Linked DNA regions of Saccharomyces cerevisiae S288C. The protein of the gene in region 2 purifies or fractionates together with the protein of the main gene of each other region. This does not show direct contact. Each region holds a gene or a part of one and is shown on either strand. Other genes may lie near its edges.

Region 1 (4,182 bases), on a different chromosome or scaffold from region 2:
GTTCCATTGGGTATGATGCGGCTAATGACTGCATCAAACTAAGACCAGAGCTGTATGACGATAGGGCCGGTTTCACCAAAAAGAAAAACATTCACAATGCAGAGGACGTTAAGCAAAAGATTATTATGAATAGCATTAATGTCCTCTTAACTCGTGGCGTGCGTGGTCTGTATGTTTATGCATACGATCCTGAATTAAGAGAGAGACTGCTTCGTCCATCAAAAAAATAGGAAGTACATAGTATAGACAAATTTTATAAATATTAACTTTTATTTGTTGCGATCTTCACTAATCTACGCAGATTTTGCCTTCGGTATATTAGCCTTCTTCTTGTTGAGTGCTTCCCAAGTGATTCCACCAAATACTATAAACATCCCCACCCATTGCTGGAAACGTACACTCTTACCGAAGACAATAATACTCAAAATCATCGAGACCATTTTCCTGGTGACTGTTATCATGATCAAAACTAAAGAGCCAAATTGTTCTAGAGTATAGAAAATAAAGCATTGTCCCATAGCGCCACAGAACGAATAAAGCATTAAATAGCCCCACACTTGTGGGTCCATCGTCAATACAGAAACGGCATTATCCCATTGTTTGCAGTCGATCACAATAAAATACAAAATATTCCACAATATCACGAAGAGGTTCAGTGTAAACATCAAGTGTGCACCTGTTATCAAAGTTTGTTTTCCCTTTTCTTTGGCCTTATTGGCCTTTAGTAGCTTATCTTGGGTGGCGTTGGTCAATCCATCAAGGAATAAACTAGAGAAAAGTAGTCCAAACCCTTGTAATTTGTTATCATTTCCGCTCTCATTAAAGGATCTCTTCAACTTTTTACCATCGTTGCCACCTATAGTGAAAATAGTGACACCGAGACTTACCAAGAGAGCTACAACTTTTTTTTGGCTTGCTATGGGCGTCCTATACAAAAGCAAATGCACCAACAACACGGGGATCATCTTGCATGACTTTGCTAACATGTAAGTGAGATAATCCACGTGCTTTAAAGAAGTTGTAGCCAGCGGGCCTGAACTACTCTGTGTAAATGATATCAACATCAATTGTTTCCAATGATCTTTAATCATTTTTCTGGGCGGATATTCCACCTTCTTCCAGTTTAAGTACAGGTAGCCCATCATCATTGCCACAGAAGCTTGTATGAGGGATATTACATTAGGGAATTGAAACTTTCCCATGGAGTTTGGCCAGGTTCTTGTAGCCAAAGGCTCCTGTACTAATGCCCACGTCAAAAAAGTAGCATATATACCAATCGCACAGATCACCAAACTGGATGTACTTCCCGCCATACAAATATACGAATACTGCCTTGTTTACTTCTTCTTGTTACGTTGTAATTCTGGTTCTAATTACATTGCTGTCATTTTTTCATGTTCGATGGGATCTACAAAACAACCTTTAGAAGCGATCTCAGGGAAGCTTTGGAAGAGAAACAGCTGATGATTCTGGCATTCCACAAACTACAACAACGAACCAAACGACATATTCCATTGCAGTGATTTGATTGGGAGTAAGCTTTTATAAACGAGCAGACCAATATGATTTACGTAGTATTTCGTTGTCTTTACCACATCGTTGTTCGTGATAAGTTCTGAAAATTTTTTTTGGAGTATATTTGCTAGAGTTAATCCAACAATATTAGCATAAACGAGCAGCTGGAGACTAGGTTATTTGAATTATTTGAGCATCAAAGTGATCAATTGTATTATATTACAGTGTAATTTTCTTTTTTTCCATATTGAATCAAAAACTAGCCACGCTTGAAACTAAAGATGGTTGCCTATTCTCCAATCATTGCCACCTATGGTAATCGTGCAGAACAGTTTTTAGAAACAGACTCAGACTTCGCTAAGTATCATGCGAAATTGAATAAAAAGTTGCAACACTTGAGGAGCCGTTGCCATTTGGTCACCAAGGATACAAAGAAATACTCAAGTAAAAATAAGTATGGCGAAATTAACTCCGAGGATTATGATAATAAAACTAAATTGATTGGTGTTTTGATTTTACTACACGCTGAAAGGGACTTGGCACTGGCTGAAACTTTGAAATTGAGAGCTCGTCAAAGAGGAAAGTTAAAGAAAAGTGAAGAAAAGGTTTTATCCACAAGATTGAAGAAGGCCTGCAAGACTGCTGATAAATTGGTTAACGTCACTCAAAATGAACAGCAATGGATAACTCGTGCCCAATATTTAGCGTTCGCTAAATTGGTACATTCAGAGTACCTAATTAATGGAAAAAGGTTCAAGAGGAAGGACAATGCCAAAATTTCGAACAACCTAGCCCTCGTTTTCGCCGCATTGGAACACTTGAAGAATCTAAGCTTATTAGCTGAAGAAGTTGTAGATAACATTGTTAATAAATACCAGTACTCTCTCAAGCAGTACGCGGGAAATTTAATTACAACGCCCGAAATAAATAACTTTATCGTGGAAAGAGTTCAATCTGATGAGAACAAGGACGATGAGCTTGTGAAATTGTTATTAGACAATGGATTCAATATGAAAAAAATTACAACCTCAACTGAAGATCAAAAGGTTACCACTAACATAAACTGGAGATCTTTCAACGCCAAGATAATCGATGCTGAAGTTGCTCAATTTTTGGAACAAGGTCTATCTATCCACCCAACTCAGATTACTCAATATACACAGAGGCTATCAAAATTGGAGAAAGCTTTAGACCGTCATGAATTTTTCATCGCAAACCACGACGATCAAGATGACATAGACGAGATGGTTGAAAATAGTTCTGAAAACAATCAGATAATTTTAGCCTACATTAAATATAATATTCTTTTGACCTCTATATCTCGTGAAAGAGATTTGTTTACTCATTTATGGAATCAATGGCTGAAATTAAATACTTCATTACCATCGAAGTTAACCAAATATAAAGAAATGGAACGTATTGTGAAGAATTTGACAAAATATTTATCGGACATAATGGAGCTACCTGGTGTGTATTCAGATGACGAGCTGCTAAGCCAATTAGACTTATGCAAGCTGTATTTCCAGTTATTTCTGAATACGGGCTGCCTGAGTGTTTTATATCAGTCGAAAGGCAGATATATGGAGGCGTTAGCTCTATATGTGGACGCTTACCGAAGATTAGAAAACAAATTATCTGAAATTGAATCTCTAGACGAAATCTTACTTCCAGCAAATCTTTTGTCATTGAATTCTGTCCGAAGCTTACAAAAGAGAATCGAAAACGGTGGTAATAGTGTCATTACTTTGGCGGAATACGAAAAAAGAAATCATGGTGGCAGCTTAGGGAAATATGATTTGACAGTGATTGAAAAATTGGATAGTAAAAAAATACTGCCAACGGACATACAATTGAAAAATTTATTCCCTCTCAAGCCAAAAATGCTGCCCATTCCTAGTAAACCAACACTTTTTGATTTGGCCTTCAACTACATAACATATGATAAGCAAGAGCCCTCAGCTTCTCAAGTGAAAGATTCAGTCACAGAAACCGAGAGCATCTCTCAAACACCAATTTCTAATGAGCAGACGGAAGGAGAGCCTAAAAAGAAGCGTGGTTTCTTGGGCCTATTTGGTCGTTAATATTTTTCTAGTATGACTGTATTTATAGTACTATATAGATTATTCCATTTAAACAAATGATGATTGCCAACTATAGTAGCCAAATAACGAAGTGCATTACTTAACACATCTTATTTTTATCTACTGAAGATATCGCCAAATTACAGCACATGCTAAAAAGAAGATGTTTAGGGTCCTTTACATAACTATACGTTAAATTATTTTTGCTGCTGAAAATAAGGAAAATAAAAACAAAGATAAAAATAGAAAGAATGGGAAAATTTAGTAACAGCTTTTGCCCAATATGCTCAAAACCGAGTTATCTATTACAAAGCGTTCCTTTTATAGAAAAAACTGACAATCAAATGTAGTAATTGGCTATTGTTAACAACAACGTTGGAATGGAATAATTTCCACGTCTCGATTTTTGGTTCAACTTGAGTCTTTATCAAGTCTTTAAATGAGAAAGAATCGACATCATCCGAGTATCGTTTATCGGGCCCTTTTCTTTTGTCAATCATTTGAATACCGAATCTAGAACCATCCGATGTGGAAATTTTGAATATTATATCTGGGAATTTAGGACCGCTCGAACCAAAGACTTTTA
Region 2 (3,386 bases):
ACCTTCATTTCTCAAAATGCTTTCAACGTCCCACATCATTTCGACTGATATATATGCTCACTTTCTGAGTAGAATCGGTGGTGTTAACAATCCAGAACAAAACAAAATAATAAAAGATAATGTGAAGACTGATTTTATGAATCCTGTCAGAATATTCGCAAACCCCGGCATCACAGATGCTTTAGATAATATAGTGAATGGATCGGGATCCAAGCCGCATAAATCAAGAATAAGCTCAAATCCCCGTTATTCTCAGCTCTTTGGTTCAGAAAATGACAACATTTTCAAAGATAAACTCTTCGACGATGAAAACGATAATACCTCAGAAATTTCTGTTGTCGAGGATCAGTTGGATCACCCACGTAATATGGAGAAAGTAAGTGTTTCCAGCGGGAATTCAGGCCTAAATCCTAGCCAATTTTATGGGTCAAACAACTTTAGGGATAATATAGCATCCTTGACTATTTCAATTGATCAGATTGAGAAAGAGCTTGAACTTTTAAGGCATTTGATTTTGAAGGCAGATCTGACCAACAATCAAATGCAGTTGAAAATTTTAAAAAAGTCACAAAGAACCCTATTAAAGGAACTAGAAATGAAGGAACTGTTGAAACAGCAATATATGGTACAAGAAAATGGTAATAGTTTGTTCAGAAAAACTAAGATATACATTAGGTCGTACTTCAGTGAGAATTCTAGTAATGGCCTAAAAGAAATAACTTATTATATCATCAATATCCATCATTTTAACAATGGGCAGGTAAGTTCTTGGGATATGGCAAGGAGATATAATGAATTTTTTGAATTAAATACATATTTGAAAAAGAATTTTAGGGATCTGATGAGGCAGTTGCAAGATTTGTTCCCGTCAAAAGTGAAAATGTCATTGAAATATCATGTTACAAAAACATTGCTTTATGAGGAACGAAAGCAAAAACTTGAAAAGTACTTGCGAGAACTATTATCTATTTCTGAAATATGCGAAGATAACATTTTCAGAAGATTTTTGACAGATCCTACCCCATTCAAACTGAACAAGGAATATATGCATGATGATATTCTGGAGGAGCCACTTCATGAACCTATTGGTAGTAGTAATAGCACAAGTAATAGCAGTTCTGTTGTTGATTTACAAAGCTCTGAAGACGGCGGTGAATTGAATTTCTATGAAGATGAAAGACATTTTTTCACCGATTCTGGCTATCCTTTTTATTCGCAAAATAAATCTTTTGTTAAACAGATATGTGACTTATTTATTTCGCTCTTTGCTTTAAATAAGGCCAACGCGGGTTGGTTAAGAGGAAGGGCTATAATTACCGTTTTACAACAGCTTCTTGGGAGCACTATTGAAAAGTATATAAAGGTCAGCATTCAAAAATTGAGATCAGAGGATCAAGTATTTGAAGCAATAGTTACATTCAAGAATATGCTATGGGGTGATAACGGTCTGTTCGAAAGAAAAAGAAATGAAACGGCAGAGGCAACAAGAAGCGAAGGTGAAAGGTTACGGACGGAACAACTCGCTTTAACCAGTTTGCAAAGACTCTTCGCAGACACTTGTGGTCGTGTAGTTGGTCTAAGAGATTCTCATGAAGCTGCTGGCCGGGTCCATGCCATGCTACAGAATCCGTATTTAAATGCCAGCTTACTGTTGGAAGCTCTTGATGCAATTTTATTGGACATAATATGTAATGACTGAAAATAAAACTTGACTAAGTACCGAACAATCTAAAAAAAAAAGTGTAATTGTCACAATAGCAAATAAATTGGTACACTTCTTCAGCCGCTTTAAAAATTGTGTACTTCTTCTTAAAACAATTGGGAAGTATTTATTTTTCACGCTTTTGTAATCTGAAAAAAAAAAAAATATCAATGATATTCAACAGGCTAGCAACTAACGAAATCAAAAGAAATAAAATAAGCCATAAGCTATAGTATCATAAAGTCAAAATGCCTAGATTAGAAGAGATTGACGATTTCAATGATATCGACGACCTTGATATGGAATTGGCCGAGTTAGATCCATCTTTGAGGACGCCGATCGCTCCCAAGATAACGCCTAAGGTTGTAAGGAGCCAGGACCAAGAGAACCCTGCATTTTTACCTGGCACGAATAACAACAGTAATAGCAACAACAATAGTAGCAACGAAAAAGAGCAGTTGAGTTTTATTAACCCAAAAACTGGTAAGGTTGAACGTTCGGAGGCTATTTCGAAGAAAGATTTAGAAGAAGTCAAAAGATTCCAAGTACTCTATCCATGTTACTTTGACATAAACAGATCACATAAGGAAGGGAGAAGGGTTCCTAAGGAGTTGGCTGTTGAAAATCCTTTGGCTAAAACTATGGCAGATGCTGTCCGTGAATTGGGAATATTATGCATTTTTGAAGGTGAAAAATGTCACCCACAAGATTTTGGTAATCCTGGTAGAATTCGTGTACTTTTCAAAGAAAATGGACAATTAATTGGCGCAGCCACTAAATTCAAAGGTGGAAAGAGGCAATTAATGAAAGCTGTTGGGGAGTATATGAAAAGACATCCAACTACTATTGAATCTTTAAGGGAGATTCCATATGGCCCTGATTTCGACAATATTGAATTCAAAAAGATTCCACGTGTAAAGGGATTCAAAATGAATGAGATTGTTCCGCTGCATAGTCCGTTCTTGATGGGCCACCCAATGACAAAATCTGTTTACGAAACTCCTAAGATTACAGCGGCAGAAAAGTCGTTCAAGCCACCAAAAAATAAGTACAAAGTAGTTAGAAGATGATTGTCTCCTTTACCCATTTATGTATATGTATATGTATATTGAGATTAATATATTAATATATTAATAGATTATAATAGCAGAACTATAAGAATATGATGTTTGTTCAGATCAAGTGCTAAATGACTTGTTGTATCAGCTTTTAAATTTTTACATCAAGACAAATCAATTATTCGTATTATTTCGTCTGTAGTTGAAACAGAGTTCAATAAGCCAAGAGTTTTGAAGCAGCTACAGGCAAGAGGTACCGAAACACAGAAAAAAGTAACAAGAAAACTCTCTCGCTCTATATATATGTGTGTGAATATACGCTATTTATACACATATATAGATGAGCGGCGTGCATGTATCGTAGTAACTAAGATTAATAGTTCTTAAAAGAGATAAATAAATCATTTAATTAAAAAACTGATTTTTAAGCGGAGGCACCGTAGGTTTGAAGGTATTGTTCGATCTTGCTTTTCTCTTCTGCTGTTATTCTGCCTTCCAAATAGGTAATTATGTGAATTAAGGAGACAATGCTCAAGACTGGGATACCGTATTTTTTGCTAACAGTTTGAGTGGCGCTGAGTCCTTCTTTATCGTCAGTACTCACAACTTCCTGTCTATCAAGAGCA
Region 3 (4,055 bases), on a different chromosome or scaffold from region 2:
ATAAAAGAGTGAAACACTAGAATTGTTATCATCATTTGTTGATGCCCTATCATCTGAATCATTCCCATCTTGTTGACCCTCCTCTTCTTCATGATTTTCTTGACCCTGGCTTTTTCGATGAAGTTCTTTCTTTTGTTGTTCCTTTAATTGTTTTCTGTTCTTTTCCTTCAATAAAAGCTTGGCCTGCTTTCTCTTTTTAAAAAAGTTCCAGTCTCTTTTGTATAAAGTTTGTTTAACGTCCTGGATTGTTGTGTATGCTAGTAAAGTTGAATCTATCAAAGAAATCAACCTGCAATGAATGGAAGATGTCAGTTCTATGATAATAGAGTGGATGGTGTTAATCAGCTCTTGTAACACGCTTGGATGCCTCTTGAAAAATGAATCATCTCTACAGAGGTAGTAATAGAGAAAAGATAAACAACTTAACCAATACGATTGCAATACAATGTCACCTGCTTGCAAAGAAGCTTCTGTGGAGACCAATCCTGCAGCTCCGTTGGATGAAACACTGGTCAGAATTTTTGTTAGAGATAAGTTAATTAACGATTCTACTAGTGGCTTGGACTTTATCTTATGATCAGCATATCTAATACATTGGTATATTAAACCAGCTGGATAGGTGGTCATGTGAGGTTCCTTTTGTGGTAGCGATATCAATAGATTCAGGATTTGTGGTATATCAAAGTCGGAAAATTCCAAGTATTGGTCCGGAGATAGTTTATCATAATCAAATGTACCGTGGTAGTCTTCTGTATATGTGGGATCTATTAGGGTTGCAGCTCCCTGAGAATGATTCATGTTCTTTTCATCAGAATCCAGAAACATGTTGTCATTTGCACCAGGGGACAGGGTCAAACCGGCGACTTGTAAGTCAATATTATCAAAAGTTTCTTTCGTGGTAGAGTCTTCATTACTCATTAGAAGAGAGGTGTCTTTCGGTTGGGAAATTTGAGGTATTTCATGTTTTACTTCGGTACGGTATCGAAACATATTGTTTTGTTCCAAAAATTCCGAAAGTGGTGAATATGGAGGAACCATATCCCAAGCGGTTAATCCAGCCTTATTCGTCATGTTGAAGTTTATCTCGTCGAATGCGTTGAACAGCTCCAAGCAACAGTTCCTTCTCTGCAGACTGAAACTCCACATCAAAGGTGTGTAACCTACAATGTCGTCGACAAGATTCAAATCTAATTTTGCACCAGAAGGATTATCATGTAGTAACTCAATGTAGTCTGCACGATCAAATACAATGATATAATGAATCAAGGCAACGCCTGTGACGGATTTATCATTAACGTTTTTGACTTCCCTTAATAACTCCTTGAATGTAGTAAATTCTTCTTCACGGTCTTCGTCGCAGATCAATTTGACTAGTTGTACCCAGGAATCGCATTCTGGTCTATCTTCTTGGTCAAGTTTAAACAAAGTTGATTTTACCAGCGCGAGTTTCTCCTGAGCGTGAGAGGAGCCTACTGGTTTGTCCACCGTTCTGTCCTCTATTCTAGCATCATCCCAAACACTGTTCATTGTTCACGAATGCCTTGTGAGTTCTGTAGACCGGCAATTGCGGCTCTCCTATACTTCAGTCACTACCCATATTGTTATAGTATGATGGTCTTTTCGTTCATCTCAATATCGAAAAATCACCGCTAACGATAAAGACATCAACAAAGTGAAAAAAAATAGTGGTAAAACAAGATAATGAAAAGTGGTTGAACAGCAAGGATGCAGAAGAGAAGGGAAAGAAAACACAGCATCGAGTCTAACTAAAGGATGGTTTTGGCTGATTTGGGGAAGCGGATTAATTCTGCTGTGAATAACGCGATTTCCAATACACAGGATGACTTTACTACATCCGTAGATGTAATGTTAAAGGGCATCGTGACTGCGTTGTTAGAATCGGATGTGAATATTGCCCTGGTTTCTAAGTTACGAAATAATATAAGGTCACAGCTGCTGAGTGAGAACCGTAGTGAGAAGTCCACAACAAACGCACAAACTAAGAAGCTTATTCAGAAAACGGTGTTTGATGAACTGTGTAAGTTGGTCACCTGCGAAGGTAGTGAAGAGAAGGCCTTTGTGCCCAAGAAGAGAAAGACAAACATCATCATGTTTGTTGGGCTGCAAGGTTCAGGTAAAACTACTTCCTGTACCAAGTTAGCAGTTTACTACTCGAAGAGAGGTTTCAAAGTGGGTTTGGTATGTGCGGATACTTTCCGTGCTGGTGCATTTGACCAATTGAAACAAAACGCTATAAGAGCAAGAATTCCATTTTATGGGTCATATACGGAGACTGACCCTGCCAAAGTTGCAGAAGAAGGTATTAACAAGTTTAAGAAAGAGAAGTTTGATATCATCATCGTTGATACTTCAGGTAGGCATCATCAAGAAGAAGAGTTGTTCCAAGAAATGATTGAAATATCCAATGTCATCAAGCCTAATCAAACTATCATGGTTTTAGATGCTTCCATTGGTCAAGCTGCAGAGCAACAATCCAAGGCTTTCAAAGAATCGTCCGATTTTGGTGCCATTATATTAACCAAGATGGACGGCCACGCTAGAGGGGGTGGGGCAATTTCGGCCGTTGCAGCCACAAACACTCCGATTATCTTTATTGGTACAGGTGAGCACATTCATGATTTGGAAAAGTTCTCGCCTAAGTCATTCATATCTAAACTGTTGGGTATTGGTGATATAGAGAGTCTCTTTGAGCAATTACAAACCGTTTCCAACAAGGAAGATGCAAAAGCCACAATGGAAAACATCCAAAAGGGTAAGTTCACCTTGCTAGATTTCAAGAAACAGATGCAAACAATAATGAAAATGGGTCCATTATCAAATATAGCGCAGATGATTCCTGGTATGAGTAATATGATGAATCAAGTAGGGGAGGAGGAAACCTCTCAAAAGATGAAGAAAATGGTTTACGTTTTGGATTCTATGACTAAAGAAGAACTAGAATCTGATGGTAGAATGTTCATTGAAGAGCCTACAAGAATGGTTCGTGTAGCTAAAGGTTCAGGTACTTCTGTGTTCGAGGTAGAAATGATATTGATGCAACAGCAGATGATGGCAAGAATGGCACAAACCGCAACCCAGCAACAACCAGGAGCCCCTGGTGCCAATGCTAGGATGCCTGGCATGCCAAACATGCCGGGTATGCCAAACATGCCTGGTATGCCGAATATGCCTGGTATGCCAAAAGTGACTCCACAAATGATGCAGCAGGCACAACAAAAGCTGAAGCAAAATCCAGGTCTAATGCAAAATATGATGAACATGTTTGGTGGCGGAATGGGCGGAGGAATGGGCGGAGGAATGCCTGATATGAACGAAATGATGAAAATGATGCAAGATCCACAAATGCAACAAATGGCAAAACAATTCGGTATGGGCTAAAGGCCACCATTTGAATATACACAGTATATATATATATGTATGTATGCATATTTCAAATAACTTGTTTAGCTTTCATCCTTTCGAATACCTCCTTCAATAAAAAAAAAAAGAAAAATCTTGTTAAATTATAAAGTGTTCATTCTATTTTTTTGAATTGTAAAATAACAAAATAAATATTCGATTGAACTGCCATGGAAAAGGTTCTACCCTCTAACACGAGTACCCGTGCTTCTTGTTCCTATAATTTACTGTTTTATCACTTCATTATTTCTTTTCAACGCCCGGTAAGTTATCCAAAGACACTACACCATTAGCAATAAGCTGCGGATCCACAAGCTTGTCTCTATGCTCATAAAGTATCTTGTAACCAGATTTGATGGTACCTTCAGTAACTTGCAAGGTTTGGCCCACTTTCGCTGCGGTAATAGGGATCTGAAAGAGCAGGATGTTTAGATAGATGGAAACAACAGCGATAGTAATAGGGGATTTACCTGCAATTTCTTTGATCTCTTTACATTTCTTTGCGGTATATTCAGCAGAAGTAGTGACTTGCATCGGTAAGCCCAGATGCGAACAAAACCTGGGTATATAAGTTAGGTTTTGTGCACCACTCATATTATCGGTATCAATCTTCAAGAAACCATCTTCGCTCTTGC

What was found.
Region 1: the proteins of SEC65 (region 2) and SRP68 purify together in Saccharomyces cerevisiae (affinity purification with mass spectrometry; 5 studies listed by BioGRID, with this or other methods). This does not show direct contact.
Region 3: the proteins of SEC65 (region 2) and SRP54 purify together in Saccharomyces cerevisiae (affinity purification with mass spectrometry; 5 studies listed by BioGRID, with this or other methods). This does not show direct contact.

What each region holds. Positions count from the first base shown.
Region 1 is NC_001148.4:86,721-90,902, forward strand, and holds SRP68 (signal recognition particle subunit SRP68), read left to right. Parts: upstream 1-1,796; coding exon 1,797-3,596; downstream 3,597-4,182. Other genes in the region: YPL245W (uncharacterized protein), read left to right, coding at 1-230; UDP-galactose transporter HUT1, read right to left, coding at 294-1,313; IQG1 (Iqg1p), read right to left, coding at 3,902-4,182. UniProt on the Saccharomyces cerevisiae protein: Component of the signal recognition particle (SRP) complex, a ribonucleoprotein complex that mediates the cotranslational targeting of secretory and membrane proteins to the endoplasmic reticulum (ER).
Region 2 is NC_001145.3:57,252-60,637, reverse strand, and holds SEC65 (RNA-binding signal recognition particle subunit SEC65), read left to right. Parts: upstream 1-1,950; coding exon 1,951-2,772; downstream 2,773-3,386. Other genes in the region: MDM1 (Mdm1p), read left to right, coding at 1-1,699; orotate phosphoribosyltransferase URA5, read right to left, coding at 3,185-3,386. UniProt on the Saccharomyces cerevisiae protein: Signal-recognition-particle (SRP) assembly has a crucial role in targeting secretory proteins to the rough endoplasmic reticulum (ER) membrane.
Region 3 is NC_001148.4:710,747-714,801, reverse strand, and holds SRP54 (RNA-binding signal recognition particle subunit SRP54), read left to right. Parts: upstream 1-1,773; coding exon 1,774-3,399; downstream 3,400-4,055. Other genes in the region: YPR089W (uncharacterized protein), read right to left, coding at 1-1,527; transcription factor SUA7, read right to left, coding at 3,664-4,055.